Callithrix jacchus: one gene and its partner. The protein of the gene in region 2 purifies or fractionates together with the protein of the main gene of each other region. This does not show direct contact. Links are inferred from orthologs where the notes say so. Each region holds a gene or a part of one and is shown on either strand. Other genes may lie near its edges. The genes, in order: ATRAID and SLC37A3.

Region 1 (15,998 bases), on a different chromosome or scaffold from region 2:
TAGAAGCATGCCGAGTCATAGGCCCTGCTCACCCTCTCTTCATTACAGAACCTATCCCAGCTCTCACTGATCTCCTATTCTCAGTAACCCTGATCCTGTTTCCTTTTTTTTTTTTGAGACAGGGACTCCCTCTGTTGCCCAGGCTGGAGTGCAAAGGCATGATCTCAGCTTACTGCAACCTCTGCCTCCCAGGTTCAAGCGATTCTCCTACCTCAGCCTCCAGAGTAGCTGGGATTACAGGCGCCTGTCACCATACCTGGCCAATTTTTGTATTTTTAGTAGAGATGGGGTTTCACCATGTTGGGCAGGCTGGTCTCGAACTCCTGACCTCAGGTGATCCACCCACCTCAGCTTCCCCAAGTGCTGGGATTACAGGTGTGAGCCACCTCACCCAGCCAACCCCCACTCCTGTTTCAACACCAATAAATGCCAACTCTCTTCTCATTCCCAAGATACCCCACCCATCATGCCACAAGTGTGGGCCCCTTCTGCTCCCAACAAGTCCCACCTCATCTTGTAAGTCTTGGCCCCAATGGCTAAGGCCAATAGCTGGTGTCCCAGGCAGATCCCAAAGACAGGTCGGGGATTAGGCTCGGATAAAACATGGCTCAGCGTGGATACAACACTGGGATAGGAGGCAGGGTCACCAGGGCCATTACTTAAGAAGAGACCCTCATACTCTGGAGTGGGCAGAAAAGATGACATCAAAATCAGTATTTCAACTAGAGGAGACACACCTGCAGCCCCAGCGTTAATGTAAGTCTCAATGTCTATCTTCTTCACTGCAACTCATCCTGACTTTAAGCAATTGGACCAAGGGACATATCTTCCACCCAAGCTGTTTGTCTGAGGCCCTGAACAGGCCCCAGCTACTCACCTTGGCTGTCTAGAGCATGGTCCCAGGGTACCACAGTGACCTCAGCCCCACGCTGGCAGAGGCATCGGATCTGATTATACTTGAGGCCACAGTCTAAAGCAAGGATCCGAGGGGCACCCCCTGTATTGAATATCCGTGGAGTCTGAGAAATAGAGGAATAAAGGGCAACCGTTGACAGCTGTGCTCAGTGGGTATAAGATATGCCTGCAGCAACTCCTTTGATTCTCTCATGTGTTCACCCTCCCCACCAAATGTGGGCAGAATATAACTACTGTGCTACAGCTTGCAACTCTCTCACTCTACCTCTGTACCTTAATGGAGACCTCTGGAACCAGGGGGCGGGCATTGGGATCCAAGAATGGCAGGGATGAAGGTTCTGTTCCATTCTGGACCAGCTTCCCCAGCAGAGATCCTTGTTCCCGCAACTTCTTGGTCAGCTCCCGAGTATCTACTCCTGTCAAAATAGCACAGTCTTAGGGATCACATTCCCCCAACTCAGTCACCTGTGAGGTTAGACTTCCAGAAGCACTTCCATTCCAGAGCCCTAGTCACACACAGTTGTTCTATGTGCACCAAAATCCTAGGCCATTGTGATAGGACTACACTACCATGAAGTATTACTGCCAAAAATATCAAATCTGAATTGAACCACAACTCTAAATCTATCCATTTATAGAAAATAATATCAAGGGAAAAACGAATACACTAAGTAACCCTAGAGGAACGAAACCAAGTAAGTGCAGACTATGGGATACTAGACACAGGAAAAATGACCCATTTTCAGACAGGTTACAAGGTCCACAGATTAAATTTAAGAGACATATCAACCAAATGCAATGCATGAACCCTGTTTAGAATGAGTTTCAAACAAACAGTAAAAAAAAAAAAACAAAAAAAAAAATTACAGGAAATTGTAAACATTGCCTGGACACTTATATTAAGAAATTATTAATTTTTTTAGTGTATGTTATTGTGATATTTTTTAAAAAGATTCTTTTTCCACAGATATTAAACTATTCGTAGAAAAAACGATATGATGTCTGAGATTTGCTTCAAAATAATCTAGTGGTGGTGATGAAATAAGATTAGTCCCGAGCTGATGATTATGGAAGAAGGGAGTTCCTTTCTGTGTTGGAAATTTTCCAAGTGATAGCTCAATTCTTTCCCCCAGTCTAACTCCAATCTAAACCTTTCAACTATCACAATCTCAGAGTCAGGTCCCAGCAGACTTACAGAAACCTTCTTTCCATCCAGGCATGCCATGCTCTGCCCAAATATGCCTGTGCTTGCCATCATACCTTGCAAGCCAGGGATGCCATGCTGTTGCAGCCACTCATGTAGGGTGCGGGTGGCATTCCAGTGGCTGGGAGTAGGACAGCATTCTCCCACCACCAGTCCTGCCACGTGGATGCCCGAGGATTCAAACCACTGTGGATGGAAAGAGATTGAGAGGAGCTTCAGGCCAAATTATTTCTTTAGAGTATTATCCCCATTGTGTGGCCATTAACCCTATATTCAACCACACTGAATGGTCTTCAATATACCAAGCATTTGGTGCTTTTGCATAGATATTTCCCTTTACTGACAATGCTCTCCCCTATATAAAAAACAACCCACAGGCTTAGGGTGCCCAGTTCATCACTGAAAATGACATTTTCCTTTAAGTAATTACTTTATTTGAGAGTCTCACTCTGTCACCCAGGCTGGAGTACAGTGGCACGATCTCAGCTCACTGCAACCTCTACTTCCCGGGTTCCAGCGATTCTCCTGCCTTAGCCTCCTGAGTAGCTAGGACTATCAGCATGTGTCACCATGCCTGGCTTCTTGTATTTTTAGTAGAGACCGGGTTTCAGCATGGTAGCCAGGATGGTCTCGATCTTCTGACTTCATGATCTGTCCACCACAGCCTCCCAAAGTGCTGGGATTATAGGCATGAGCCCCCGCGCCCGGCCATTTTTTTTTTTTTTGGAGACAGGGTCTGGCTGCCCAGGCTGGAGTGCAGAGTACAGCAGCACGAACATACAGTTCACTACAGCCTCAAACTCTTGGGCTCAAGTGATGCTCCCATCTCAGCCTCCTGAGTAGTTGGGACTATAGGTGTGGACCATCCCACCTGGCTACTTTTTAAAATTTTTTGTAGTGACAGGGTCTCACCATGTTGCCAGGCTGCTCTCCAACTCCTGGGCTCAAGTGATCCTCCCACCTTAACCTCCCAAAGTGCTGGGATTACAAGTCATGAGCAACCGTGTTCCGCCTGTTTCTTCCTTTATCTAAAACTGAAATAACAAATCCCTTCTCTGTGAAGCCTCTCCCACTCACCCAATGCAGCTTGTGCCTCCATCTTAGAGCTCTCCTAACACTTCATTTCCTCTCTTGCTATTTACACTGTATCATGAATATGTATTTGTGTCTTTGTCACGAAACAGAGAACTCAAGAGCAAGACAAATGGTGTCAGTCAGACATTTATTGAGGTGCAGGCATTGCAAAAGATGCTGAGAAAAGAGCAATGAGCAAGAAAAGATGAGGTCCCTGTCTTCATGATGTTTATTTCTGACTTAGGGAGCCAGAAAACAAGGTAACACTCATGTAAGAAAGATATTATAGAGTGTGGTTAAAAACTGAAATAAATACATTACTAAGTAAAGAAACAAAGGTTCAGGGCACAATACTAAGCATGACCCCCAAACTTCGTTTGAGATTATTATTTTAAAAAGATAATATACCAGCCTGGACAATATGGCAAAACCCAATCTCTACAAAAAATACAAAAAAATTAGCCAGACATAGTAGCATGTGCCTGTAGTACCAGCCCCTTGGGGGGCTGAGTTGGGAGGACTTCTTGAGCTCAGGTGGTGGAAGCTGCAGTGAGCCATGATCATGTCACTGCACTCCAGCCTCGATGACAAAGTGAGACCTTGCCCCCTCTCCAAAAATAAAAAGGTAACATAACCTTGTTACTCAACAGCTAAGCATTTAATAGCTACACAGAAACAGAAAGTTTATGTGGGAGGGATATTTAAACTGCATTCAGCTCAGTGAAGAGTTTAAGGAACCTGCATTCTGAGACCGTCCAGGAGTCTGAAGGATAGTTTGGCAGAACCCTCCCCGGCCAGGTGGAGTAATCCATTTATATGCACAAGTGGCTCCAGGAGGTCTTGCCCACCTTGGCCCTATTAGGGACTCAAATTTGTAGTTTTATAAACTCAATTTTGTCAGTGTGCCTAGAGCTGACAAAAGTGATGACTGATACAGGTTAATCAAATTCACAAGAAATGGTACTATCAACTAGAATGCAGTGTATTTATAGGTTTGTGATTAACCTATAAATTCCTTTCCAGGACGAACAGTATGTATATCTTCTATCCAGAGCGCTCTCTCCCCAGTGTCAGGGTGACTGGGAAGGCAAATTAAGAATTAAAGGCTTAGATGTGTGCAATGAGGCCAAACACATTTGTGAAATGCTACTCTAGGCCAGAATGACTTTCTCTGTTACCTTAATTACTATATGTTGGTTTCTAAATGCTTGAACTGTCAGAGGGCAACTTAGTTTCCAAATTTCAGAGGTGAAGGAAGAGGGGAAACCTCACTGTAGGAAGAAATTCAGTTTTCTCACCTAGAGGTAAGAACACAACTGAAAAGCAAAAAAAATCAGACGGGGCAATGTCAGTAGGTCTAGAAGATGATAATCAATGATACTGGTTTTGTAGGTAAACTGGCACTCACTGTCACTGCGAAATGTGTGACCCTAGTTTCCAGTCTCTTTCCACTAATTTATGTAGTCCTAAAAAGCACTGCTCCCATCACATGATTGTTACTTTAAAAAAACAAACAAACAAAAAAAAACCAACCTTCAATGGATCCCTTACCAAATTAAACTGACTCTGCTTTGGCTCAAGTCCCTCCATGCCCACTGTATCTTATTTATCTGCAGGCTTTTTTCTCATGACTTCTGCATTCCTAACAATTACCTCTTTTACTTTCCTTGAACCATGCCATACAGAATGCTTAACAAAGGCTGTAGCTTTCTCCTGAGGCCTTCAACACTCTGTGCCTCCCACGGTACTTAGCAACCCCTGCCTAACTAGTTAGTAGTAAGTAGTCTTAGTGCCTGACTTACTACTTCAGTGGGTATGTTTTCTGAAGGATGCCCAGCAGGGTGTCAACGTCTCCTACTTCACTAACAGTTAACAACCGCTGATTTGAAAAGGAAAGCACTGGGTGTGGCTACCTTGCAGAGACCGAACTCATCCATTTCATCTGGGGGGATGCCATAGTTGCCGATCAGAGGATAGGTGAGCACTAAGATCTGTGCTTTGTAGGAGGGATCAGTGAGGGCCTCGGGGTAGCCGACCATGCCGGTTTGAAACACTGCAAGAAAGAAGCAGGGCTGGGCTCCGGCAGAGCACTCCCAGCGCGATGAGCACGCCCCAGTGGAGGCTGCCTTGGTCGCGAGAGGTGGACACGCTGAGGCCCATGGGCACCGAATTGGGGGGGGACGGGGTGTGCTGGCGGGAAAATGGCGGGGTCTGGACAGGGAAGGTGAGGCGGAGAGGCGCATCAGAGTGGGATAAGGTCTGCAGCCTACCCGGACTTGCTTACCCACTTCCCCGGCAGTCGACACGGCGGCCCCAAAGGGCTGGCCCCGCAGGACCGACCCATCCTCCAACACTAGGGCCGCCATGGGAAGGGAGCTCAGAGGCGGGGGCGAGTACGGAGAAGCGGGAAGGATGCAAACTCCACTGGAACCACGTGAGGATGGCGCGCCGGAATCGGTCCACGTGGCTAACGGCGCGGGGCGCTGGAGAGAAGGCGGGCGCGGCAGGCGCAAGAGCCTCTAGCGCGCTTGGAGGCGGCAGAGACGGCGGCGGCGCGGACACCGGTGGCGTCAGGGGCGGGGCTGGGCACGTAAGGGGCGGGGCTCCAGGAGCCAAGGGGAGTGACCCCTCGTGGTATCCGCACTGCAAAACCAGGAGGAAACCTGAAAAAAAATCGGCTGCCTTAAAGTAGTCTTTCCCACCCAAAGCTAGAAACAACTAAAGGCAGGACCCCTTTACTTAAAAAGAAAGACAGAAAGAAAAAAAAGAAAAAGAAAAGTGTTTATTATAGGCAACAACACAAATGGGAACTGGTACTTGTCTATACCAGGGGAGTGCAATTTTTCAACTTCCAATGGCGGCCTCAATCTTGAGGCAAATCCACTGACCAAAGATGCCTGTCTAGGAAGCAGAGCTCCGTGGATGGGCTAAGATAGATCAGATTGATCTTAGGTCAATGTAAGACCTATGTGGTTCATGAAGTCTTCGCTTTTCGGCGTTGGGTCCCCCAAAGCAGAATGGAGATGGATAGAGTGGTGGATCCCAGAATCCCGAAGAACATAAGCAGTGAGAACGAGCCCTGTGAATAACAGACCAAAACATATCCCATACAACGTTACACAGAGGGCGACATCCTAACACCTAGTTCATTCCCAAGGTATATCATCTCGTCTAGGACAATTCTATAGTTTTCTCCCTAGAGGTAATTTGTATTAGCTCCTGGTCTGTGACTCTCCTTTCTGAGAGGTGTTGCTCTATGCATTCCTTGTATCCCTAGTTAGAAGGCCTTATTCCTCACCTGGCGCATACACTTATATCCGTGGAAACCATCAGCACAAACACACTGCAAAAAACCTGGACCATTAGGTACACAAGATCCATTCTCAGGACACATTTCTGGGGACCAGAGAGAAATAGAGAACATCACTGCATCCATCTCATTAGGCATATTTCTCAATTATCTGTTTCAACTTAGATTCTCTCAATCATTTCTAGGATAAAGGAAGCGGAAAGATTACAGATAAAAACAGTAACAGTAATAGCATATGCCTTAAGATCTTTTCTTTCAAAGGGGTTAGAGCCCCAGAACTCTGAATGAAAGGCATTTAAGCAACTTTGTCTTCCTGATCTAAAGTGGAAAATACAAGGAAGAAAAGACAATTCCCAGAAGCTTGGAGGTAAGAGAGCATACCTGGGTTCCCAGTGTTATTGCAAAGGTTCTTTTGGCCTTGACAGATCTGGTTGTCTATATAAGAGGTGACAGTATTCCAGGCATTAATTCCTCCAGGACAGTTGACATCTTGTGGCAGTATCCTAAAGACAAACGTGGTCATAACATGCAAAGTTGCTAAACTCACAGCATTGCCCCTCTTTGATTCTCTTCCCATACCCTTACTCACAGAGTCTGGAGCTGAGTAAAGCCACGGAAGGTGTTGGCCAAGTCACCTTTGAGAGGGTTTGCTTGCAGATCTCTGCAAAGCACACACTGTCAGCACTTTCCCATCAACCTACACTATATTAGCCTTTTGGGTGGGAGGTGTCTAACTACTTACATGATGATAGTGGTATGTGCCTGATGAAAGTCTGGACCAGGGTCCTCCAGAGAACAGTTCTGGAGATCCAGCCTGAAGACACAAAGTAATCAACATAACTGTGTGTTCCCCTTTTTCTTCATCCACAGCAGTTTGTATTTGACTACACAACCCCCTTTTCAGCTAATAGTAATTGAACACAGCTGTGTTCCGACTCACATACTAGGTGCTGTGGTAGACATTTTAATCCTACATTATCCAATAGAGTCGCCACTTGCCACATGTAGCTACTTAAATTTAAATTAATATAATCTTAGGCTGGATGTAGTGGCTCACTCCTTAATTCCAGTACTTTGGGAGGCCACTGCAGGAGGATCACTTGAGCCTAGGAATTCGAGACCAGCCTGGGCAATATAGTGAGACCCTGACTCTACAGAGAAAAATTAACCTAAAAATTCACTGTCTCATTTGCACTAGCCATATTTCAAGTGCAAATGGAATAACCACGTTAGTGGCTACTGTACTGGTTAGTACAGATATGGAATATTTGCATAATCACAGAAAGTTCTATTGGCCAGCAATGTTCTAATAGGTTATGCATCTATTGGGAGAACTGTGTTTCTTGTCTATATTAGTGAATCTCATATTATGATTTTCAGATCCACAGAGGGCCTTTAAAAAAAAACACAAGTCACATAAATAAAATGTTTTCCGCATGTATTTTCTACCACAGATTGGTTGTAAACTGCTGGATATTAAGGATCATGCCACATTTTTTCTTCACTATCTACTGCTGTCAATTCCTTTATTCTACAAATATTTACTGAGTGCCTACTAACTGCAAACGCTGGGAGAATGTTAAAAATATATAACACAGTATCTTAGACTTGAGTGGTTTGCAATGTGGTTAGAGAAACAAGACCACTGCCCAAAATAAAAACACTGTATATATTAAATTACAATATGAAAGAAACCACAGGACAGTGTATAAAATATACACTAAAGATTACAGGAAGTTTCAAAAAAAAGTATTACTCTGGAATTTAATAGTAGAAAATATTCAGAAAAGATGTTGGAATTGAAGGATGGATATGTCCTAATTTGGTGGAGGAAGGCAATTTCAGGTATGGAGAGAGGCCTGAACAAAGGTAGAATGCCTTTGAGGGTAGGCAAATCTGGTGCCAGACCTCTTATGGAGGTTTGAGTGGACACGTAATTGGAAATAATGTTGGAAAAGTGGGTTGGGACTAGTCTATGGTAGCTCGTGGTTTGAATTTTATCCTGAGAGCAACAAACAGTTACCTAAATATAGTATTAAAGCAAGAGAGCGATAATGGAAAATGTTGGTTTTCTGAAAGCTTAATATAGAGAAGTATTTAGGTAGATTAAGGAAGAAGAGAATGGAAGCAAAACACAACATTTTTAGTTTGAAGTTAGGATGCACTTAGTAGGAAATGTTTAACAGGAAGAGCAAGAGGTACCCATATGTACCTGGGGTGTGGAAAGGCAAAAAGACTCTAAAGAGATCTAGTTTTGGTAGACACCTGCGTGATGGTTACAGCTGAAACCATAACAGGTGGATTCTCAAAATAATATAAGGGTAGAAAAGCAGCCAGCCTAAGGAATGGCCTGTATCCAATATCCAGGGATGTCTTCTCCCTCACCCCAAGATGGTGCCATTCTGATTCAGGCAGCAACGGGCATGTAGCATTAGCTCTCCTGTAGTTTTACAATAAAGGGCCACTTTTGACAAATTTTGCACACTCCCTGGACATTGGGTGCATATCTGCAGAAGAGAAAGAAACATTAGAACTCCGGAAAGAACACACGGGGATCAAGAATTAACTGCCAGCACACCTTTCCAGAATTCCTCTAACATGGGGCCGATAAATGGCTCGTGTCCTACCCTCATAACAGGCTAGACTAGGAGATGCCATTTCTTCCTCTAGAGTCCGGTGCCCAATCAGCTCCCCAGAGACTTTTCAGTAACAGACATCGCCCAGGGGAAGGTCCTCATTTCTGAAGATTACTATTCGAACATATTTATTATGCCCTCTGCAGAGACTTCTCAATCTGACAGCCTCAGTTTGTCCCGGTGTAAAAGGACCGCGGTATGTAAGAACTCATCAAGCATTACAAAATAAAGTGCAGCCCTACCACCGCACGATACACGGCATTCGTACGTAGAGCTTACACAAAGAGCCAGAGGACCCGTCTGTAGAAAGAGCTTATTCTAAAATTAAGGAAAGAGATCAAGTTTCACAGGTCTTTGAAAGTCGGCAGGACGGGGGCGTCGAAGGCCTGCACGACGTGAGCACTCGGGAATAGGACCTGGCTGGGCAGGGTCGGGAAGCGTCAGGGACGAAATCAGAGCCGCAGGCCGGCAGAGGGGAAGGGGGAGCCGCGGGCGAGCGCGAAGCGCTGGCCATCGACCCTGCTTCAGCCGGACTTCAAACTTGCTTCTGTACCTCGGGTAGAGCCAGAGCCCTTTCCACGCCCAGAGCAAGGAGCAGGGTGGCAGCCCAGCGCACCAGGATCGTAAGAGTACCCCGGCCGCGAGGCGCCATTTTCCGCTCCCTTGGTTCTCCACCGCTAGCGCGACCCGACCCCCGCAGCCCCGCCCCACGGCGCGTCAGGCCCCCTTCGCCGGGCGTGGCCTAAACGGCCGGGTTTAGTAGCCCTGGGGCTGGGTGGGGGCTGCTCCTGCTCGGGGAGCTCAGCTTTGGTCTTTAGGAGCCCCAGCCTTCTTTCGGGGACACTGGCCGACCACCTCTTCCTTTTCCCCTTTAGTGAAGGCCTCCGCCGTCGCCGCGCCGCTTCCTAGAGCCTACTGCAGGCTTCTTCAGCCCAGCGTTCCCCGCGCCTGGATGTCGAGGTCGCGTCTCCACGGAGACTCGGGCCCGTCCATCCGCCCTCAGTAAACATGGCGGCACGGCGAGCTGGGCTGGCGGAAGGCGGGCGGAGGGCGAGGGCGGGGCCCCCCACGGTCTCCTGGTCTGCGCGCCGCGGACGGGCTCTGGCTACCCACGTGTGGAGAACAGGCAGGTGGGCTTGGAGAGCGTGAGTCAGCACCGAGAGGCCCCGGGGAGCGGCGTAAGAGCGGGGGCGGGGGCGGGGGCGGGGGGCGGGGGCAGGGGGCGGGGAGGGGCGGAGCGAGCCAGCCCCGGGCTGAGAAGATCTGAAATGCGAGCGGTAGTAACGTGGTCGTGGTCGCCGCGTGGAGGGAATCTGGAAGCCAGGAAAGAACGAGGGTGAGGGTGATGGAGCAGGAAAGGGCAAACCGCAAACTCTAGCGGGAGGACACGAGCCTGGAACGCCCTGGGCACCTAGTCACCTTCACCTCAGTCGTGATAGCGCGCAGCGTCCTGGAGCCTGGCGAGGAGGTAGGAACGGGATAGACGCTTCCCTAACTCATTTTCTTTGCCTTCTCAGGCAAAGGGAGCGATGTTGATTTCTGGAAGCACAGGCGGACCTTCCTAGCCCTGGCTGAACCACGGAGGTAAGGGAGTGCGGAAGGGTGCCAGGGGGAAGCCCTGCTCCCGGAGTGACTGTCTTGGTTCAAGCCAACCACAAAGCTCCTTAAAGCCGACCCAAGCGATCATCTCTAGTTGCCGACCCAGGCTTCCCTTCCACATTACCCTCCGGTGTCTGCCTGGACATTCCTGAAAGATTTACGTTTAGCTGGTTGGCAAATTTTCTAAGGTGTTAGTAGCTATTAGCATTTTTTTTTTTTATTTGAGACAGAGTGGTGCAATCTTGGCTCACTGCAACCTCCACCTCCCGGGTTCAAGCAATTCCCCTGCCTTAGCCTCCAGAGTAGCTGGGACTATGGGCGCATGCCACCACACCAGCTAATTTTTTGTGTTTTATTAGAGATGGGGTTTCACCATGTTGGCCAGGATGGTCTCCATCTCCTGACCTCATGATCCGCCTGCCTCAGCCTCCCAAAGTGCTGGGATTACAGGTGTGAACCACCTAGCCAGGCTGCTATTAGCATTTTAAGGAGGGCCCCCAAAGCCTTTCACACCTTGAGGAATTATAGCCCCAGGACAGATTTTGAGGGGATCTTTTTGGAACAGTCCTGCAGAGGACAGTGAGACCCTTTGCCTTTTTTTGTAAGAGACAATTCCATCTACTGCAGTGTGTGAACAAAATGAGTTAGAGGTTTTTTTTGTTTGTTTGTTGTTTTTTTTTTTTGAGACAGAGTTTCGCTCTTGTTACCCAGGCTGGAGTGCAATGGCGCGATCTTGGCTCACCACAACCTCCGCCTCCTGGGTTCAGGCAATTCTCCTGCCTCAGCCTCCTAAGTAGCTGGGATTACAGGCATGTGCCACCATGCCCAGCGAATTTTTTGTATTTTTAGTAGAGACGGGGTTTCACCATGTTGACCAGGATGGTCTCGATTTCTTGACCTCGTGATCCACCGGTCTCGGCCTCCCAAAGTGCTGGGCTTACAGGCTTGAGCCACCGCGCCCGGCCTAGAGTTTTTAAAAGGGGTCCCACAATCTGCTGTTTGTGCCTTAGTGTGTTATAGTTCTGGTGAAACAAGAGATAGGTCTTCCTTTTGGCCCTCCCTTCCTGGAGACATGTAAGGGTTTGGATCAATATAGGGTTTTTAGAAAACCACAGATCTGTTCTCAGAATCTAGTCTGTTACTGAGTCAGGTTTTTTCTGTCTTCCTTGGCTCTCTCTTGTGGCATCCGGGAGAATTCTCCACACATCATGCAAATAGAGTTTTATCAGGAAGTCCTATCAGCAGAGTATCTTGAAGGTCTGTGTCCCACATTGGGAGTTTCCTATCTCTGACCACCTGCCTATCTATACCATCAACCCTGTAGTGTTGTATGTTCTTTGCACACAGCAGACATCATCTTTCCTCTTACTCCCCAGTAGTTCCCATCATCTCTATCATAGCAGTAAAAACTTGCCAAGGACAAATGGGAAAACTCAGGGTGTCGCAATGTGCAAAGCCCCAGGACATCTTTTGGATAAACCAGAGTTTAAGCCCAAGCTGGACATGGTAGTTCTTGCCTGTAATCCCAACACTTTGGGAGGTTGAGAGGGGTGGATCACCTGAGGTCAAGAGACCAGCCTGGCTCACATGGTGAAACCCTGTTTATACTAAAAAAAAAATTAGCTGGGTGTGGTGGCACATGTCTATAATCCCACCTACTTGGGAGGCTGAGGCAGGAGAATCTCTTGAACCCGGGAAGCGGAGGTTGCAGTGAACCAAGATCTGCACCATTGCTTTTACACTCCAGTTTGGGCAACAAGAGCAAAACTCCATCGCAAAAAAAAACAAAAAACAAAAAACAGCCTGTTGGGAACCTTGTAGAACATGTGATCCAAGAGTTGCCAGCTCTGATTTCCTCTCTTTTTTGGCCCCAAGAAGTTCAGAGTTCAGGTTTAGTCTCCATGAGGCCATAGCTTGCTAGCCAGCCAGTGTCTGCCCAAGAACACACTGTGGGAGAGCCAGAAGTCAGCCTAATCTTTCTCCTAGTGGGCAAAAGCAGAAGACACGTTTAATCTGACTCTTGGTTGGTTGAAATCTAAACTATGTCCTGTGAATGACTGATTACCTCACTCCGCTCCTCCCCTGGTTCTGGAAGTAGTGAGAACAGGGCCCTTGGTGAGCACCTGTCATAGCTGCAGACAGTACTGCTTCTTTCTCTCTTGTTTTGTATCATGCTGCGTAACCTTGAGCAAGTTATTTAATCTGTCCGTTTTCTTGTCTGGAGGGTATTCATGTCTCAACCTGAGACATGGTGTTTTCAAAGTTATTACTGCGTTATTTATTATTGCAAATGTTTATAAAGCACCTCACACACTGCTGGGTTACATAGCAGGTGTTCAAGGAGTGTTAACTGTCGTCATGTTAGGCTGTCTGACTACATGGCATTCTCTGTTTTTTCCCCATACCAGTAAATACGCCAGAGGATTGCCTCTGAAGACAATAGGATATGCATGGAGAACAGACAGGGTGGATGGTGAATCCCTAGACCTGGGTTCTAATTTACCCTCTGACAATAGTAGGCTCTGTGGTTTTGGAAAGGTCACTTGAACCATCTGAACCTTAGTGTGTTTATCTGTGAAATGGTCAGTGGTGGGGGGTTTGTTATAATAGTGGTATCCAAAGATTTAAGATTTTAAATATTATGATCCCTTCCTTCTTTCTCTGAGGATTGTGGTATATTCTTGGAGGATTAACATATCTTGTGTAGGAGTTAAAAAATCAACTTTCAACTTTCCTGTCTATTCAGTTCCTGCTTTCCAACTCCCTCCTGCACAGAGTGCCAAGAGTACTTTAGGCTGAAAGCCTAATCCATCTAGGAATGCTGTTGAATGTGAGCTCCCTTTTACCTCTTCTGGAGCCTCTAGGGCTGAGTTGGAGTTTGGGGGCCATAGGGTGACAGGGTCATTTGGAGCACAGCAATTGGTTACCTGAACAAATGACTGCTGAGTGCCACCCCACCCCCAATTCCTGATCTCACCACAGCCTCTCATAGAGCCAGATCTTCAGCTCTGCAACTCCAGGCAACTGTGCCTCAGGACAAGGATTGCTTCTCCAGGTAGGTATCTGCCCCCAGCAGGATGTGACCACTCTCACTGGCTGGTGCCTTTGCCTCTCAGCTCCTTGGCTGGGTTGCTTCTCTCCAGAATGGAGAATCATAACTCTGAAACCCTGACTCTAACGTGGTGCCCTCTCACCTTTCCCTTCTCATTTTTGAATCCAACCACTTTTCCTGCGTCTGCTGTTGGCTATGGTGTGGCAAGTAGAGGGGTTGAGAGGTGGGTGGCAGCGCTTATTTAGTGATGTTGGGGAAAACCTAGTGGTTGGCCTGGGGCTGCCACAGAGGCAGTCTTACTGATGATCAGTTAGGAGGGTGACACTGGAGATCATGGGTGGCAAGGGCTGAGGCCAGGGGCAATAGGAAAAGCCCTGCTGCCATTAGTCTCCATGTTGTCTTTCCTGCTGGGCTGTGGCGCCAGGCTGGCTCTGCTGGCTTAGTGTATTGTAGTGACTGGGTCTGTGCCTTCAAGTGGGGCCAGGAAATTCTTCAAAGAAACTTAGCCTAGAGTTTATTTTTCTTTTGCTTCTTGGATGGAGACCTAAGAAGTTCCTTGAATTTCACAGCTCTTGCATACCCAAAGGTCCTGGCCAAGTTCTATTGTCTCTTGGCTGTCTCAGTCTGCTGCTTCCCCCTCACTTACCGCTCCTACCAAACCCGTATCAGGGCCTCCATACCCTGAAGGGCTACCACTATGCTGGCTGGTCCACTTCTGGTGGGCGTGGGATATACAAGGCCCAAGGGTGAATGGCTACCAAGATAGGCCTCACTAAGAGCTAATTCCTTTGCAGCTCACCCTGGACAGTGTCATTCCGTGGAGGAAGACTGTGAGACCTTGGCTGGGAGCCAGGTTGTAGCCACCCATCCGCCCCTGCCCTAGCCCAGAGCCCTGGAGCATCAGCTGGCTGCAGACCACAGATACAGTGAGGATATGAGTGTAGGGGTGAGCACCTCAGCCCCTCTTTCCCCAACCTCAGACACAAGCATGGGTACGTCCACCTTCTCCCTTGTGGACTATGTAGTGTTCATCCTGCTGCTGGTTCTCTCTCTTGCCATTGGGCTCTACCATGCTTTTCGTGGCTGGGGCCGGCATACTGTCGGCGAGCTGCTGATGGCGAACCGCAAAATGGGCTGCCTTCCAGTGGCACTGTCCCTGCTGGCCACCTTCCAGTCAGCCGTGGCCATCCTGGGTGTGCCGTCTGAGATCTACCGATTTGGAACCCAGTATTGGTTCCTGGGCTGCTGCTACTTCCTGGGGCTGCTGATACCTGCACACATCTTCATCCCCATTTTCTACCGCCTGCACCTCACCAGTGCATATGAGGTGAGCAGGGACGGAAGGGAGAAGCACATGGGACCACTGGGGTTGGGGTGGAGAGGATGGACAGACACATCTGAAGGACCTGGGACTCTGGACCTTCTCTACCTAATGAAATGACAGAAAATTCATTATGTATTTTTAGTTCTTCGATTTCAGGAGTGGGAGCAAGGTTGTAGAGGGTGCATGCCAAGTAGGACTCAGAGAGGGCATGGGTTGGATATTCCCTCGTGCTCCTGAGCATCTTGAGGGAAGTTTTGTGTGAGTTGTGGGGGTGAAGTCAGGAGGAAAACCTTTTTTCTACATACCCAGTACCTGGAGCTTCGATTCAGTAAAACTGTGCGAGTATGTGGAACTATGACCTTCATCTTTCAGATGGTAAGTAGAATGAGCATGGAAACCAAGCCTGGGGCATGTTGGGGGACCTGAACTCAAGTGTGCTGAGGGAATTCGAGTCTCCCCTTGTCTCAGACTGGCAGGATTGAAATTCCTGCTAGAGGTCAGCATCTGTAAAGCCCCCGGAGGCCTATTCCTTCTAATTCCAGCACAGATACTATAGTGGCAGCAAGCCAGAATTTGGAAGGAGGAAGAAGAGGGAAGGGAGCCTAGGTGAGAGAAAGCCATGGGCATATTGGCGTTGAGGCCCATCTTTCTTCCTCTCTCTTCCCACCCTCCCCCTCGCCCCCCTCACATTTTTTCCACAACCAACAGGTAATCTACATGGGGGTTGTGCTCTATGCTCCGTCCCTGGCTCTTAATGCAGGTGAGGAGTCACACAGCCATGGGAGGCTTGGAAGGCACCTTTGGGAGGGGCAGATGGAGAAGAGTGTGTGGAAAAGAACCTGACCTTGGACAGGGAATTAATTTACTGCTTAGGCCCTTGGATG
Region 2 (15,375 bases):
CAGGTTCACAGAAACCAAGGTGTGTCTGTCAACAGCCACAGACCCCCACACACAGCTCCCCAAAGGCACGCACACCTACAGATCGTATTTGATGCGTAACTGCTGAACTGCAGATTACAGATGCTTTCATTCTCTCTCTTTTTTAAACTTTTATTATGGACAAAAACTTTAACATTCACAAAAATAGAGCGGCGCCATGAATACCCATGTGCCCATCGCCAGCTTTTATGAAGAGTTTTGCCTATTGTATTTCATCTCGCCCCCAGCCAAGGTCACTTTGCACGGGGTGGTATGTGGAGCATTTTAAAGCAAACAACACACCATGCCAGGTCATCTGTAAAGCTTTAGTGTAAATGACTTCAGGCGCATTTTTCAGTCACCTCTGAGGATTGTGTATTTTATTATTTATGTAAAAGGAATGAGTAGCATTTTCTCTCTGGTCCTCTTTCTGTTCTTTTACAGTTCAGTGATTTTTATCTGCTTGTTTTGTTTTCTCTTTTTTACAATTTTTTATTTAGTGGTTTTAAACATATTCACACAGTTGTGCAAGAATCACCACAATCTAATTTTAGAACATTTTCATCACCCCCAAAAGAAACCCTGTATCCATCATCAGTCACTCCTTATTTCCCTCCTCCCCCACACCCCAGCCTCAGACAACCACGAATCTGCTTTCTGTCTCAATAGATTTGCTTATTTAGAACATTTCATACAAAAGGAATCATACAATATGTAGTCGTTTATAACTGGCTTTTTTCGCACTTGGCAAAATGTTGCAAGGTGGGTGTAGGCTGTAGTACGTATCAGCACTTTAATCCTTTTCATAACTAAGTAATATTTTAGTGCATGGATATGCCACATATTATTTATCCACTTATCAGTTCATGGACATTTGGGTTGTTTCGGCCATTTGGCTATTAGGAATAATCCTACAATGAACACTCACGTATTAGTGTTCGTGTGGACATACGTTTTCATTTCTCTTGCATATATGCCTAAGAGTAGAAGTGTTTTGAACATATGATAACTCTATGTCTTGGGTTTTTGTTTTGTTGAGACAGGGTCTTACTTTGTTGTCCAGGCTGGAGTGCAGTGGTATGAACAGGGCTCACTGTAGCCCTGACCTCCTGGGCTCAAATGATCCTCCTGCCTCAGCCTCCCATGTAGCTGGGATCATAGGTGTACACTAACGTGCCTGGCTAACTTTTGTATTTTTTTGTAGAGACAGGATTTTGCCATGTTGCTCAGGCTTAGTCTCAAATGCCTGGACTCAAGCAATCTGCCCACCTTGGCCTCCCAAAGTACTGGGACTACTGGGACTACAGGTGTGAGCCACCATGCCATACCTGGTAACTCTATGTTTAACTTTTTTTTTTTTTTTTGAGACCGAGTCTCACTCTGTTGCCCAGACTGACTGTTGCCCAGACTGACTGTTGCCCAGTCTCACTCTGTTGCTCCACTGAGTGCAGTGGAGCAAGCTCAGCTCACTGCAACCTCCACCACCCAAAGTACTGGGATTGCAGGTGTAAACTCCCATGCCCAGCCATGTTTAACTTTTTCGGGAGCCATCAACCTGTTTTCCACAGTGGTTATACCACTTTACTATCCTACCAGCAATGTGTGAGGACTCCAATTTCTCCATACATTCACTGCACTTCTTATCCTCCACCTCTTTTATTATAGCCATCCTGGTGGGGGTAAAGTGACACCTCATTGTGGTTTTTGTTTGCATTTCCCTAATGACTAACGATGTTGAGCTTTTTCATGTGCTGACTGACCATTTCTAAACCTTCTTTGGAAAAATGTGTCTTCAGATCCTTTGCCTGTTTTTCAACTGGGTCATGTCTTTTTTGTCGTTGTTGAGTTGTTAAAGATCTTTAAATAGTCTAGACAGGAGTCCCTGATTGGATATGTGATTTGCAAATATTTTCTCCCATCTATGAGCTGTTTTTTTCTTTCTTGCTGGTGCCCTGTGAAACACAAAAGTCTTCAATTAAATGAAGTCTAGTTTATCTGTTTTTTCTTTTGTTGCTTGTGCTTTTGGTGGGGATCCAAAAAACCACTGCCTGACTCACTATCACAAAGATTTAGTCTTACATTTTCTTCAAAGGGATTTTTAGTTTTAGCTCTTACATTTAGATGTATGATCCACTCTGAGTAATTTTTAATATATGGTGTAAGGTAGGGATCCAAACTCATTCTTTTGCATTTGTATATAGATATTACATTTTGATCCTATTTTTTTAATTTGTTCTATGATATTGTACCTGTTTTCCATAAACTACCTTTTTAAAATTAATTTGTTTATTTAGAGACAGGGGTCACACTATGTTGCCCAGGCTGGACTCAAATTCCTGGGCTCAAGTTATCCTCTGGCCTCAAACTTCAGAGCAGCTGGCACTACAGGCACATAACGCACAATTCGACAAATCACTTTTTACACGTCTTTGATGAGACTACACCAAGAGTGATTAAAAGAAAAACCCTAAATGAAGAAATATTCCATATGAGGAAGTGGTTAGCCCTTCTTTCATTGCCTGTAATCTATAACTCATTTCCCCAATTTTAGTTTTTTCCCCTTTTCTTATATTTTACAATGCAATTTAGTACTTGCTTGATTCAGTCAATGGTATCTGTACCAATTAGTCCTGCCCTAACCTTCAGTATTCTATTCTATCCCATTCCTATCTACCTATTTATCTATCTATCTATCTATTTATCTATGTATTTAGAGTTGAAGTCTCACTCAGTCACACAGGCTGGAGTGCAGTGGTGCAAACTTAGCTCACTGTAGCCTTGAATTCCTGGCCTCCAGAGATCCTCCTGCCTCAGTCTCCTGAGTCTCTAGGATTGCAGTCATGAACCATGATGCCTGGCTTTCAGCTATCCAATTTAAAACTTCAATTTGACAAAGACTTTGAGCACCAACAACGCGTCTGTTGATCCTGGGTAAATCAGAGATGAAAAGACAAGTGCCCTGCCCTCAGACTATCACAGTCGAGATGGAGAGAGGTCTGGGATGTAAACAAATAATGAGCGCGTATGAACATAATAGGGAAGGAGTGATTGTGTGAAGGGACTGGAAGACCTCATGAAAGAAGGAGATTGAGGCAAAGGCTCGGAGCGGGGCCCAGGCAGGAACCAATGTCTGATGCCGGCTGGGTAAGGCCCTTGTCGAGCTGGATACCAGATGCCCCATCTAGAGGCGGCAGTTCCCACTCATCCCCAGCAGATCATATCATTGTAGGTGAACCCAGGAGTGTCAAGAGAAGTTGAAAAAAAATCTCAGCCAGGTACAGTGGCTCATGACAATAATCCCAGCACTTTAGGAGGCTGAGGTGGGCTGATCACCTGAGGTCAGGAGTTCCAGACCAACCTGGCCAACATGGTGAAACCCTGTCTCTACAAAAGATACAAAAATTAGCCAGGTGTGGCAGTAGGCACCTGTAGTCCCAGCTACTCAGGAGGCTGAAGCAGTAGAATCACTTAAACCCGGGAGGCAGCGATTGCAGTTAGCTGAGATCATGCCACTGCCACTGCACTGCACTCCAGCCTGGGCTACAGAGAAAGACTCCACCTCAAAAAAAAAGAAATTGAAAAAAATCTAATTTTTGTGTGAAATTCCTCATTTTTGAAAGTGGTTAATTAATTTGAATTTTTAAAACTCTACAGTGGGTTGCTCGAAGAGCTAAACATAAAATTACCATACAATACAGCAATTCCACTTCTGGGTATATTCCCCAGAAAATCGAAAACAGGGACTCAAAGAAATATTTGTAGGCCAATGTTCACTACAACCCAAAGTGGAAACAATCCAAGTGTCTAGAATAACTTATAAATAATATGTGATATATCCATGCAATACAATACTCAGCAATTCGAAAAAAAATTAGTTCCAACACATGCTACAACATGGGCGAACCTTGAAAAATCTTATGCTAAGCAAAATAAGCCAGCCACAAAAGGACCGTACTTATGGATTGTACTTATATGATTGTACTTATGGAAATACCTAGAATAGGCAAATTCATACAGATAGAAATTAGATAAGAGATTAGCACGGGGTGGGGCAGGGAGAGGGTGGAGTTGCCTAGGAGTTCTTGCTTAATGGCACAGTTTCTTCTTGGGGTGATGAAAATGTTTTGGAAATAGACAGCGGTGATGTTTGCACAACATTTGAAATATAACTAATGCCACTGCGTTGTATACTTAATAATGGTTAAAATGTTATATATATCTAACAGCCAGGCCCAGTGTCTCACGCCTGTAATCCCAGCACTTGGGGAGGCCGAGGAGGGAGGATCACTTGGGGTCAGGAGTTTGGGGCCAGCCTGGCCAACATGGCAAAACCCCGTCTTTACTAAAAACACAAAAATTAGGTGGTGTAGTGTTATGCACCTGTAATCCCAGCTACTCAGGAGGCTGAGGCAGGAGAATCACTTGAACCCAGGAGGTGGGGGTTGCAGTGAGCTGAGATCATGCCACTGCACTCCAGCCTGGGTGATAAAGCGAGACTCCATCTCAAAAAAACCGAACAACAACGAAAACTAAATGTTGTATATATCTTACTACTGAAAAAACAAAACCCAAAACCTCTAGAGTGGCTAGACAAAACATACCAGGAGTGGCTCTGTGAGCTGTGGGCCAGCAGTCTGGGCCTTTGTGCCCAGTGGTGACAGCCAGCACCATCTCCACTAAGCCCCTTCAGACTCACGGACCAGCGGTAATGCACAGCTATATGCTAGACAGTGGAGTGGGGCCGGGGAGGTAGATAAAATTAAAAACACATATTTCCAATCCTTGAGGAGATTAAAGCTAGAAATAGACCTGACAGTAGTAATACAGCCACATGCTTTCAGGGGCTTCCAAAAGCATACCTGGAGAAATTTGGAGAGGAGATGGCATGCATCGCACCTGGCTGTGGGGATCGCTGAAGGATTCGTGAAGGCACTGGCACGTGAGCTGCGCACTGAAGTTCAGATGAGAAGGCAAGGATACTCCCTGCCCGGGCAGAGGTCTGGGGGAAGAACATAGGGTATATGTAAGGACAGAGCCAGTTTGACAGGAGCAGAGTTCAATTAGAGAAGCAGCTGGAAGGAGAGGAGGGGACTGGGATGAGGAGACCAAGCCAAATTGAGGACTTCCCACTTCATTTTGAGCAGAACAAGTGACGTTCTCAAAGCTGTTCCTGAGAATGATGAGCATCTGAGAGGAGACAGGGACCCCCTGGAAGGCTAGTGGAGGGGCCAGGATGGATGACAGCCAGAAGCTGAAGGCCACAAAGGGAGGGTCCAAATGAGGCTATAGTGGTGGCCACAATGATGAAGGGAGAGGGCTGGAGTGAGGGGGAAGGTTTGGGGTTTCCTTTGGATGTGTGGCTTTTGTCTTTTAGATTAGAGGAGCTTGAGGCAGCAGAAATAAATGGCAGGGGCCAGGTGAAGTGGCTCATGCCTGTAATCCCAACACTTTAGGTAGCCAAGGCAGGTAAATCAATTGAGGTCAGGAGTTCGAGACCAGCCTGGCCAACATGGCGAAACCCTATCTCTACAAAAAATACAAAAATTAGCCTGACAAGGTGGCACATGCCTGTAATCCCAGTTACTCGGGAGGCTGAGGCAGAGGAATTGCTTGAACCTGGGAGGTAGAGGTTGCAGTGAGCTGAGATGGTGCCATTGCACTCCAGCCTGGAAAACAGAGAGAAACTCTGGAGGGACTGAAGAGGGGAGAGGATGCAGAGGGATCACTGAGCAGAAGGGACTGAGGGAACAGAGTGCAGAGGCCCGGCAAGGTGAGGATGATGCAGACAGAAGTGAGGGGAGGGTGAGAGAGAGAAAAGAGCAGAGTCTCTAGGGTGAGGAAGGAAGATGGCTCCACACTCGCCCAAAAAGATAGTAAAGGAAGTCATCTGCTTTGAAAGAGAGGACCAGGAGCGACTCTGACGGCTCAACAGTGGCATGTCACAGAGGAAGAATTCAGTGGCTGCTGAATGTCACAGGGCCTAGCTGAGGCTGGAGCGCACAGGCCCAGAGCAGCCCCACATGTGACCTGGTTGCCCTGCCTCACACGCTAAAGGGAGAGTGGAAAAGGCATGCAGCATGGGCAGCGATGGCCAAGCAGGCCTGGGAGCAGTGTAAGAAAATACAGGAAAGGGAGTCTCCATCAGACAAGGCACATTCTTGTGGGGTTTTTGTTTATTAAAATTCCCCCCAAAATATCCTTCTTTAAACTGACAGTTATTTATGGGTATAATGTAATGTTCTGAGAGATATATACATGTTGTGGAATGATTACATCAATCCCATTAACATTTCCATCACCTCCAATACTGTTTTGGAGACAGTCTTCCTCTGTCGCGCAGGCTGGAGTGCAATGGTATATGGGCTCACTACAACCTCCACCTCCTGGGGTCAAGTGATTCTCCTGCCTCAGCCTCCCAAGTAGCTGGGATTACAGGTGCCCGCCACCACACCCAGCCAATTTTTGTATTTTTAGTACAGACAGGATTTCACCATGTTGGTCAGACTGGTCTTGAACTCCTGACCTCAAGTGATCCACCCACCTCGGCCTCCCAAAGTGCTGAGATGACAGGTGTGAGCCACCGCACCTGATGTATTCTCTTAGCATTTCTAAAATATACAATACATTATTATTAACATAAGGCACATCTTTGAAATGGCCAGCCATGGGGAGAAGGTAGCCTCAGAGTGACTGGAGGATGAGAGATGGAGATTTTGAGGGATTTTGAGCAGGAAGGTTGGAGGAGGCACAGCCTCTTATGATTAAAGTCCAGTAAGCATCACTGCCCTGCAAAGGGAGGCACCTTCACTAAGAACTGAACATGGCTGAGCAATTCCTTGATGCAGAGATGGCAGTGAAGAGGGTGGGAATGTATCTATCAGCCAGTGCTCAACTCGCTGGACGAGGGAGTGCTTCCCAGAAGATGGCAGATGGAAGAGACAATGAGAGGTTTTCACGTAAACCTCTTACATCAAAGAGGTTTACTGAACTGAATCACAGTTCAGGGGCCAGGCATGGTGGCTCACGCCTGTAATCCCAGCGCTTTGGGAGGCTGAGACGAATCACCTGAGGTCAGGAGTTCGAGACCAGCCTGATCAACATAGAAAAACCCTGTCTCTACTAAAAATATAAAAATTAGCTGGACATGGGGGTGCATGCCTGTAATCCCAGCTACTCGGAAGGCTGAGGCAGGAGAATTGCTTGAACCTGGGAGGCAGAGGTTGCAGTGCCAAGATTGCACCATTGCACTCCAGCCTGGGCAACAAGAGTGAAACTCCATCTCAAAAAAAAAAAAAAAAAAAAAGAATCACAGTTCAGGACTTAGAAGAGAAGAGAAGAGGGGGTGCTGAATGAGGGTGATGGAATCTAATTTGTTTCCAGCACTAAACTCCAGGTCCTCAGGGGCAGGACCTATGCCTCTTCCCATCCAAGTACTAATCAGGCCCAACTCCGCCTGGCTTCTGAAGCCAGGCACATCCAGGGTGGTGTGGTCCCAGCTGTGCCTTCTCTTTGTATCTTCAGGTCTAGCAAAGAACCTAACATGTGGTAGGCACTCCATACTATGTGGCATGAAGGGCAGGACATTCAGGGAACCCAGGGCCTAGCATTCCCTTTTCCCAACCCATAGTCAGGGAGATGTGAGAAGAAGAGACAGTCTGATGGGAAGTGACATGGTCAAGGGGAAGTGCAGCAGATGCTGGCAGGAATGGGTCTGGGAAGGTGTGGGTAGCACCAGCGGAGTTCAGTCCTGAGCAATTGCAGAGAGGGAGCCTGCTCCTAGGACTTGCACAAATTCCAAATGGGATATACAGAGTGCTAGGGGAGGGCATGTAAATTCAGTAAACTTCATTCCGACTTTAATTCAACAGCCCAGAGCACGGGTCCTATTGGTGATGTGTTGTTTTCATCTCTCACGTGAAAGAGGTTTAGTGAAAAAAGGGCAGTGTGACAGAAATCACACACAGATCAAGGGGCTAAGCCCAGTTGTGCTAACCAAGTCTGTGCTCTTTGGAATCGATGCGAATGTCCATCTCACTGTGCCTCAGTGTCCTCGCCTCTCAATGGGGCTAAGTCTCTTTACTACCCATTCCGCGGGATGGCTCTGATGAGAAAAATGAAAGCAATTTCCAAACATTTCACATCTAAGTGCCCCAAATTGTCCCAGGGTTGTGCATTTCACCCATCCCTTGTGCTTTATAATGTTACAAACATGTTTGAAATAAGTGGGTCGTCCACTGGGATTTGGAATTCACTGTGATCTGGAGACCTGGTCGTGTTTACTAAGTTTTGACTCCTGGACAAGAAGTGAAACCTTATTTCCACTCAACCTCCTCCTGTGTTCTGTCCTCACACAGGACATCATCCACACAGCGCTCTGTTCTTCATCTTGCATTGCTCTTTTTGGAAATAAGTATATTTGGATGTTTTGTTGCTAAAGCTGCATTCTCCCCGCAGCATCTGTGCCTGGCGGCCACGGGGAAGGGAAAACAGGAACACTTGGAGGCAGCACTCTCCTGTCCTCACCCACACAGGGCATGGCTTCCTAGACGAGTCTCCGAACCTGGATGTCTGCAGTGTCCTGGCATGCTGCTGGTAAGTGACAGACACACGCAGGGCTGCAAGGCTAGGAGCTCTCTCTGTGAGGGAGGAACGAGGACACTTCACAGCTTTCACTTGAGTGGATACAAGAGAATGTTTTGTGAAAGTGGCAACAGAGGTAAAATGGCTTTTTTGCTATAGAAGTAAAGTGGGACACCCAGCAAGAGCCACGCACTGATCAGAGAATGAGAGCCTCACTGAGAGAAGCCATGCAGCCTGTGGCCTGGCTCTGGTTGACCAGATGAAGAGTGATCCCTGTTTGAGCCTATTATGGCACTAGGATGGTTTTTCAACTCATGATTCTGTTGCAGGTCAAAGCGGGTAGCTGTGATGAGCCCTGGGCCTGGACCCACGTTAGGGAGTTCAGTGTTGAGGGTAGCAGGCCATCCCCTCCCATCATGGCCAGCCATCACTGTGGACCAGCCAACAGGCAGAGGGGCACCTGGCTGAAAAATTATCTCCAGAGGCAAACATTTAACAGCCATGATGTCTTAAATAAATATCACTCTTGCTGAGCAAGGGAAGAAAGAAAAGAATAAACAGAAAAGAGTGGGAAGAAAGAGAAGAGAATGCAGATTAGATTTAAGAGGGGCAGATATGATGATGAGGGGTGGCATCTACATCAACAAAGAAGCACTGAGTAGCTCCCAGGGGCTAAGCAGGCCCCACCTTCAGATGGGTCCCTAGAGCTAGCAGTGAAGAGTCCCCTCTTCTCCAAATGTGCCTAGGGCTGAATGCAGAGGGGAGCCGGAAGTCCTTCAAGAAACCACGAAGGCTTCACCCTGGCACAGACCCAGAGCAGGAACCCTTTCCTCACTGGCAGTGCCCACCACCACATCAGCCTCCCCTCTGCTCGGCAGCCCATAGGGCCCAAGGAGGACACAGAAGTGAGCCAGAGAAGAAGGGTGATGGGGAGAGGGAGCCGCCTGACTCACCCCATCCTCAGTCACTCGGATCATGGGTGGGCAGGCCTGCAGATGATGAATCACTGAGAGCTGTGAACGCTATTCTGAGCTCTGCCAAGAATGCGGGTGCTCTTGTTGGCACCCTGGCACCCTTCACAGTTTCTCTCCTTCCTTGTCTGGCTGCCAGGACACATGCATTGTAGAAACCGGGTATCTGAGTGGGTTTTTTTAGCCCAACATAGAAACATCTAACTCTTTCTATTCTTCCTGCTTCTTAACCAGTTCTTGGAAGTCACTGATTGGAAACCGGAACCGAGAGCCACCTCCTTCCCAGCCTAGCTGAGAAGCCATTCCAGGGCAGGACAGAGCTTATGGAATTTACCAAATAAATCACCTGACTTCGTGTTTGGCTACATGTCTGAAAGTACCCAAGAAGTATGTCAGTTAAGTTCTAGATTCTGGCCAGGCGCAGTGGCTCACACCTGTAATCTCAGCACTTTGGGAGGCCGAGGCAGGTGGATCACCTGAGGTCAGGAGTTTGAGACCAGCCTGGCCAACATGGTGAAACCCTGTCTCTACTAAAAATACAAAATTAGCTGGGTGTGATGGCAGGCACCTATAATCTCAGCTACTTGGGAGGCTGAGGCAGGAGAATTGCTTAAACCCGGGGAGTGGAGGTTGCAGTGAGCTGAGATCGCACGACTTCACTCCAGACTGGGCAAAAGAACAAAACTCCATCTCAAAAAAAAAAAAAAGTTCTAGATTCTATAAGGAAAAATCAGACTGGTGCCTAGAGCTCTGTATAACTGCACAAAACATGAGTTAATTTCTCAATCTATCTAGTTCCCATTCAGTCCATGAACTTTCATCCACTTTCATCCATAGAAAGAGTTAAGTGCTGTACAGACTAAATCAAACCCACCACGTGCTGCTGGGCTCAGTTACCAGGAATTTAAATAAGAACCTGCCTGTGTAACATCCTCACGCTGCTGTGTATTAAACTGCAAGAGGCTCCACAGGGGAAAGTCAGATGTCCTCCACCTTCTCATTGTCTTGTGTCACAGACCCTTGGGAATGGGCATTTGGAAAAGCAAAGGTCATGCCTCTATGCCTTAGGAAGATGAAGAGTGTAATACGTTCCATCCACAAACATATACTGACTATGAAGAAGGCATTGTGATGGTTACAGAAATGGAGGCACCTCAAGGAGGTTAAATGTGGTAGGAGAGATAGGATGTCTACACAGATCATTTTAAATAAGCACTGGCCAGACAAGGTGGCTCACCTGTAATCCCTGCCCTTTGGGAGGCCGAGGCAGGAAGAACACTTGAGGTCAGGAGTTCAAGACTAGCCTGGCCAACACAGTGAAACCCTGTCTCTACTAAAAATACAAAAATTAGCCAGGCATGGTGGCGTGTGCCTGCAGTCCCCGCTACTGTGGAGGCTGAGGCAGGAGAATTGCTTGAACCTGGGAGGCAGAGTTGCAGTGAGCCGAGATCATGCCATTGCACTCCAGCCTGGGCAATAGAGCAAGACTCTGTGTCAACAAAATTAAAAAAAAAGGACTGAGTCCTATGTAATATGAGAAAGAATTACCTGGTTTGGTGAAAGTTAGGCCAGATTCGCGACTGTGCCTTAGAGAATAAGCACAGTCTCCTCCGGGGAAGACACAGACATGATACTGAAGGTACAGAGAACTGCCCCATCTTTCTGCAAGAATGTGGGGAGATAAAATCAGAGTGGTACATGGGGTTTAGACATGCAGTGCCTTAAATGACAGGCTTAGGAGCTTGGGCTTGATCCAGTGGGTGTGGAGAACCCACAAGGCGACAGGGGTGATCCAATCAGAGCTTCCAGAAGCTCGGTCTGGCAGTTGTGGCAAGATGGCTTGAAAGGAAGGGAAACCAGAGATAGGGAACCAGTGTCATAGTTCGGATGGGAACTAGGAAAGACCTGACGAGAGAAGTAACAATGAGAAAAAGAAACTGGTGTATACAATGTTACGGAGGTGATTAAACAGGTCAAATATTCACCAAATGTGAAGAAATGAAAGAGGAAGAGAAAGACATCAAAACGACTCTGAAACACTCAAAACCACTAGAGGTGGATGTGTTTTCTCAACTAGAGAAAATGATTTGTAGCCAAATTGACTGAGAAGATGACAGTGCCATTAACAGGCATATGGACCTCAAGAGGAAAAAGAGATTTGGGAGCGGTTCTCGCTCATGACGGTGAGAGGCCGTGGAGATGGCCAGAACACAGTCGAAAATGCATCCAAGCGTGATCAGGGCTGGAGAGAGGGATCTGGGAATCACCCACGTGGCAGTTATAGTGGGAAGCATGGGACACAGCAAAGAAAAGCATCCCAAAGATGGAACTAACCAAACAAAGACCTGCACTGAGAGAATGGAGGAAACAAACAAAGTGAGAAAGCAGAAAGAACCAGTATGGACTGACTCACAACCATATGCTTGTGCTAAGGGATGTGCCTATGTTACCTGCAAAGTATTTTTTCCATTTTATAGATGAGAAAACTAAATCTCCGTCTCCTACTTCATCCAACAGCCCAAACTCCATATCGGAAATCCAAGAGTCATTCTCCACAAATCATGTCCCCCACCTCTCAGTCATTTGCAACACACCTACCTCCTAATCCTTCTTGACTCAATTCCCTTCTTCCAGCCCTACTTTAGAGCCTTACTTTAGGTCCTCAGTTGTTCCCTTCTTAGCCAATAGCTTCCTATCTCCAAGGCTCTCTGTTCCTGGTCTTACTCATTACCATTCCATCTCCTCTACCACCAAGGGTTCCAACACACAAATCCAGTTCTCACAACACCTTCAGAAGCTAGCAAGGGCCTTGGTGAGGTGGCTCTGCTCACTCTCTGGGATCACCTCAAGCCACTCACTTGTAGGCATCCCATACTGTGCCCTCACAGAACTATCTGTGGCTCGCAAAATACACCTACCTTCCCATCTCTGCACATGATCCCTCTTTTTCAAGACTATCTCCTGCCAGGCATGGTGGCTCATGCCTCTAGTCCCAGCACTTTCGGAGGCTGAGGTGGGCAGATGACCTGAGGTCGGGAGTTCGAGACTAGCCTGACTAACATGGAGAAACCTTGTCTCTACTAAAAATATAAAATTAGCTGGGTGTGGTGGCACATGCCCGTAATCCCAGGTACTCGGGAAGCTGAGGCAAGAGAATTGTTTGAACCCGGGAGGCAGAGGTTGCAGTGAGCAGAGATCACACCATTGCACTCCAGCCTAGGCAACAAGAGAGAGACCCTGTCTCAAAAAAAAAAAAGACTGTCTTCTACTTTTTTTTAGGAGCAATTCAAGCATCACACCCTCAAGGTGTTCAAATCTTCCCAGGGACCTGTTTTCTGTACCCTTCACTGCCTTGGCCATACCCCCATCACAGCTCTTACCACACTACAACTTAATCTATATGAATAAATCCAATTTATCTCATTGTATCTAACACTCAGTATTTTCTGGTGAAATTAACGAACTAAGTAATTAAAATCTAAGTCTGATTCTGAGGTTCACATTCTTCCCACTACTCAGAGTAGAAAGAGAAACAGGATAGTGTAAGATGACAAAAAGGCAAGAGGCCATCCACAAAACACTCACAGCTAACGTCATACTTAATGGTGTAAGACTAGATGCTTTCCTCCTAAAATCATGAGCAAGACAAGGATGTCTGCTGTCACCACTTCTATACAACACTGCATTGAAGACTCTAACCAGGGAAATTGGGAAAGAAAAAGAAATAAAAGGCACCCAGATTGAAAAAGAAGTTCAACTATCTCTATTCCCAGATGACATGATCTTATATATGAAAACATCCTAAGGAACCCACAGAATAATTATTAGAACAAATAAACAAGTTCATCAAGATCGCAGGATACAAGATCAATATACAAAGCTCAATTGTATATCTCTATATATTAGTGTTGAACCATCCAAAATGAAGTTAAGAAAATAATTCCACTTAAAATTTAAAAGAAAAAAATGGCTGGGCACAGTGGCTCATGCCTATAACCCCAGCACTTTGGGAGGCCGAGGTGGATGGATCACCTGAGGTCAGGAGTTTGAGATCAGCCTGTGCAACATGGTGAAACCCCGCCTCTTCTGAAAATACAAAAATTAGATGAGCGTGGTGGTGGGCACCTATAATCCCAGCTACTAGTGAGGCTGAGGCAGGAGAATCATTTGAACCTGGGAGGCAGAGGTTGCAGCAAACCAAGATCACACCTTTACACTCCAGCCTGGGTGATGGCAGTGAAACTCTGTCTCAACAACAACAAAAAAATACAAAATACATTTAACAAAAGAAGTAACAAGACTTGTGCACCAAAAACTACAGAACATCACTGAAATAAATTAAAGACATAAATAAAAAGGCATCCCATATTCATGGATTGGAAGATTTAATCTTGTTAAGATGACAGTACTACTCAAATTGATCTACAGACTCAACACAACCCCTATCAAAATCCCAGCTATCTTGTTTTGTAGAAATTGACAAGCTAATTCTAAAATTCATATGGAAATGCAAGAGACTCATACTCACCAAAGCAATTTTGAAAATTAAGAACAAAGTTAGCCGGCCGTGGCGGCTCAAGCCTGTAATCCCAGCACTTTGGGAGGCTGAGGTGGGTGGATCACGAGGTCAAGAGATCGAGACCATCCTGGTCAACATGGTGAAACCCCGTCTCTACTCAAAATACAAAAGATTAGCTGGGCATGGTGGTGTGTGCCTGTAATCCCAGCTACTCAGGAGGCTGAGGCAGGAGAATTGCCTGAACCCAGGAGGCGGAGGTTGCGGTGAGCCGAGATCGCGCCATTGCACTCCAGCCTGGGTAACAAGAGTGAAACTCTGTCTCAAAAAAAAGAACAAAGTTAGAGGACTCACACTTGCTGATTTCAAAACTTACTACAGGCTAGGTATGTTGACTCATGCCTATAATCCCAGCACTTTGAGAGGGCAAGGTAGCTCAATTAGTTGAGGTCACGAGTTCAAAACCAGCCTGGCCAACATGGTGAAGTCTCGCCTCTACTGAAAAAATACAAAAATTCAAAATTAGGCAGGCATGATGGTGGGTACCTATAATTCCAGCTACTCAGGAGCCAGAGGCAGAAAAAAATCACTTGAACCCAGGACACAAAAGTCTCAATGTGCCAAAACTGCACCACTGCACTCCAGCCTGGGCAGCAAGACCCTGTCCCAAAAGAAAAAAAAAACAACTTACTGCAAAGCTAAAGCTATAGTAATTAAGATAAGACAGAATGGTATTGACATAAAGATAGACATACAGATCAAGCTGATAGAATTGAGAGTCCAGAAATAAACCCTTACATACATGGTCAATTGATATTAAACAAAGCTGCCAAAACATTTCAGTGGAGGTGAAAATAATCTTGTCTACAAATTATCCTGGGACAATTGCATATTCACATGCTACTTCATCCCATATGCAAAACTCCACACCAAATGGATCATACACCTAAAAGTAAGGGCTAGAATTATGAAACTCTTAGAAGGAAACATAGGAATAAATCTTTGTAACCCTGGATTAGGCCAAGATATCTTTTATATGACACCAAACCCAAAAGTGACAAAAGGAAAAATAAATTGGACTCCATATTATTTTTTTGTGTATTTCAAATGACACCAGTAAGAAAGTGAAAAGACGGCCGACAGAATGGAAGAAAATGTTTGCAAACCCTACATCTGAAAAGGGACTTATATCCAAAACATTAATACATAAAGAACTCTTACAGCTCAACAATAAAAGAACAAATAATCTAATTTAAGAAATTTTTTAAATGGCCATGTGCTGTGGCTCAC

What was found.
Region 1: the proteins of SLC37A3 (region 2) and ATRAID purify together in Homo sapiens (affinity purification with mass spectrometry; 3 studies listed by BioGRID and IntAct, counting the BioPlex papers as one, with this or other methods). This does not show direct contact. The link is inferred for Callithrix jacchus from reciprocal best matches to the Homo sapiens genes SLC37A3 and ATRAID.

The regions. Positions count from the first base shown.
Region 1 is NC_133515.1:87,795,643-87,811,640, forward strand, and holds ATRAID (all-trans retinoic acid-induced differentiation factor), read right to left. Parts: upstream 9,836-15,998; 5' UTR 9,792-9,835; coding exon 9,693-9,791; intron 9,011-9,692; coding exon 8,889-9,010; intron 7,318-8,888; coding exon 7,246-7,317; intron 7,165-7,245; coding exon 7,093-7,164; intron 7,007-7,092; coding exon 6,885-7,006; intron 6,590-6,884; coding exon 6,492-6,589; intron 6,273-6,491; coding exon 6,168-6,272; 3' UTR 5,961-6,167; downstream 1-5,960. Other genes in the region: multifunctional protein CAD, read right to left, coding at 509-680, 878-1,019, 1,189-1,331, 2,176-2,305, 5,107-5,246, 5,478-5,559; SLC5A6 (sodium-dependent multivitamin transporter), read left to right, coding at 14,725-15,117, 15,424-15,489, 15,823-15,874. UniProt on the Homo sapiens protein: Promotes osteoblast cell differentiation and terminal mineralization. Plays a role in inducing the cell cycle arrest via inhibiting CCND1 expression in all-trans-retinoic acid (ATRA) signal pathway.
Region 2 is NC_133512.1:107,007,394-107,022,768, reverse strand, and holds the end of SLC37A3 (sugar phosphate exchanger 3), read right to left. Parts: intron 5,018-15,375; coding exon 4,878-5,017; intron 1,971-4,877; coding exon 1,868-1,970; 3' UTR 485-1,867; downstream 1-484. UniProt on the Homo sapiens protein: Unlike the other SLC37 members, lacks glucose-6-phosphate antiporter activity.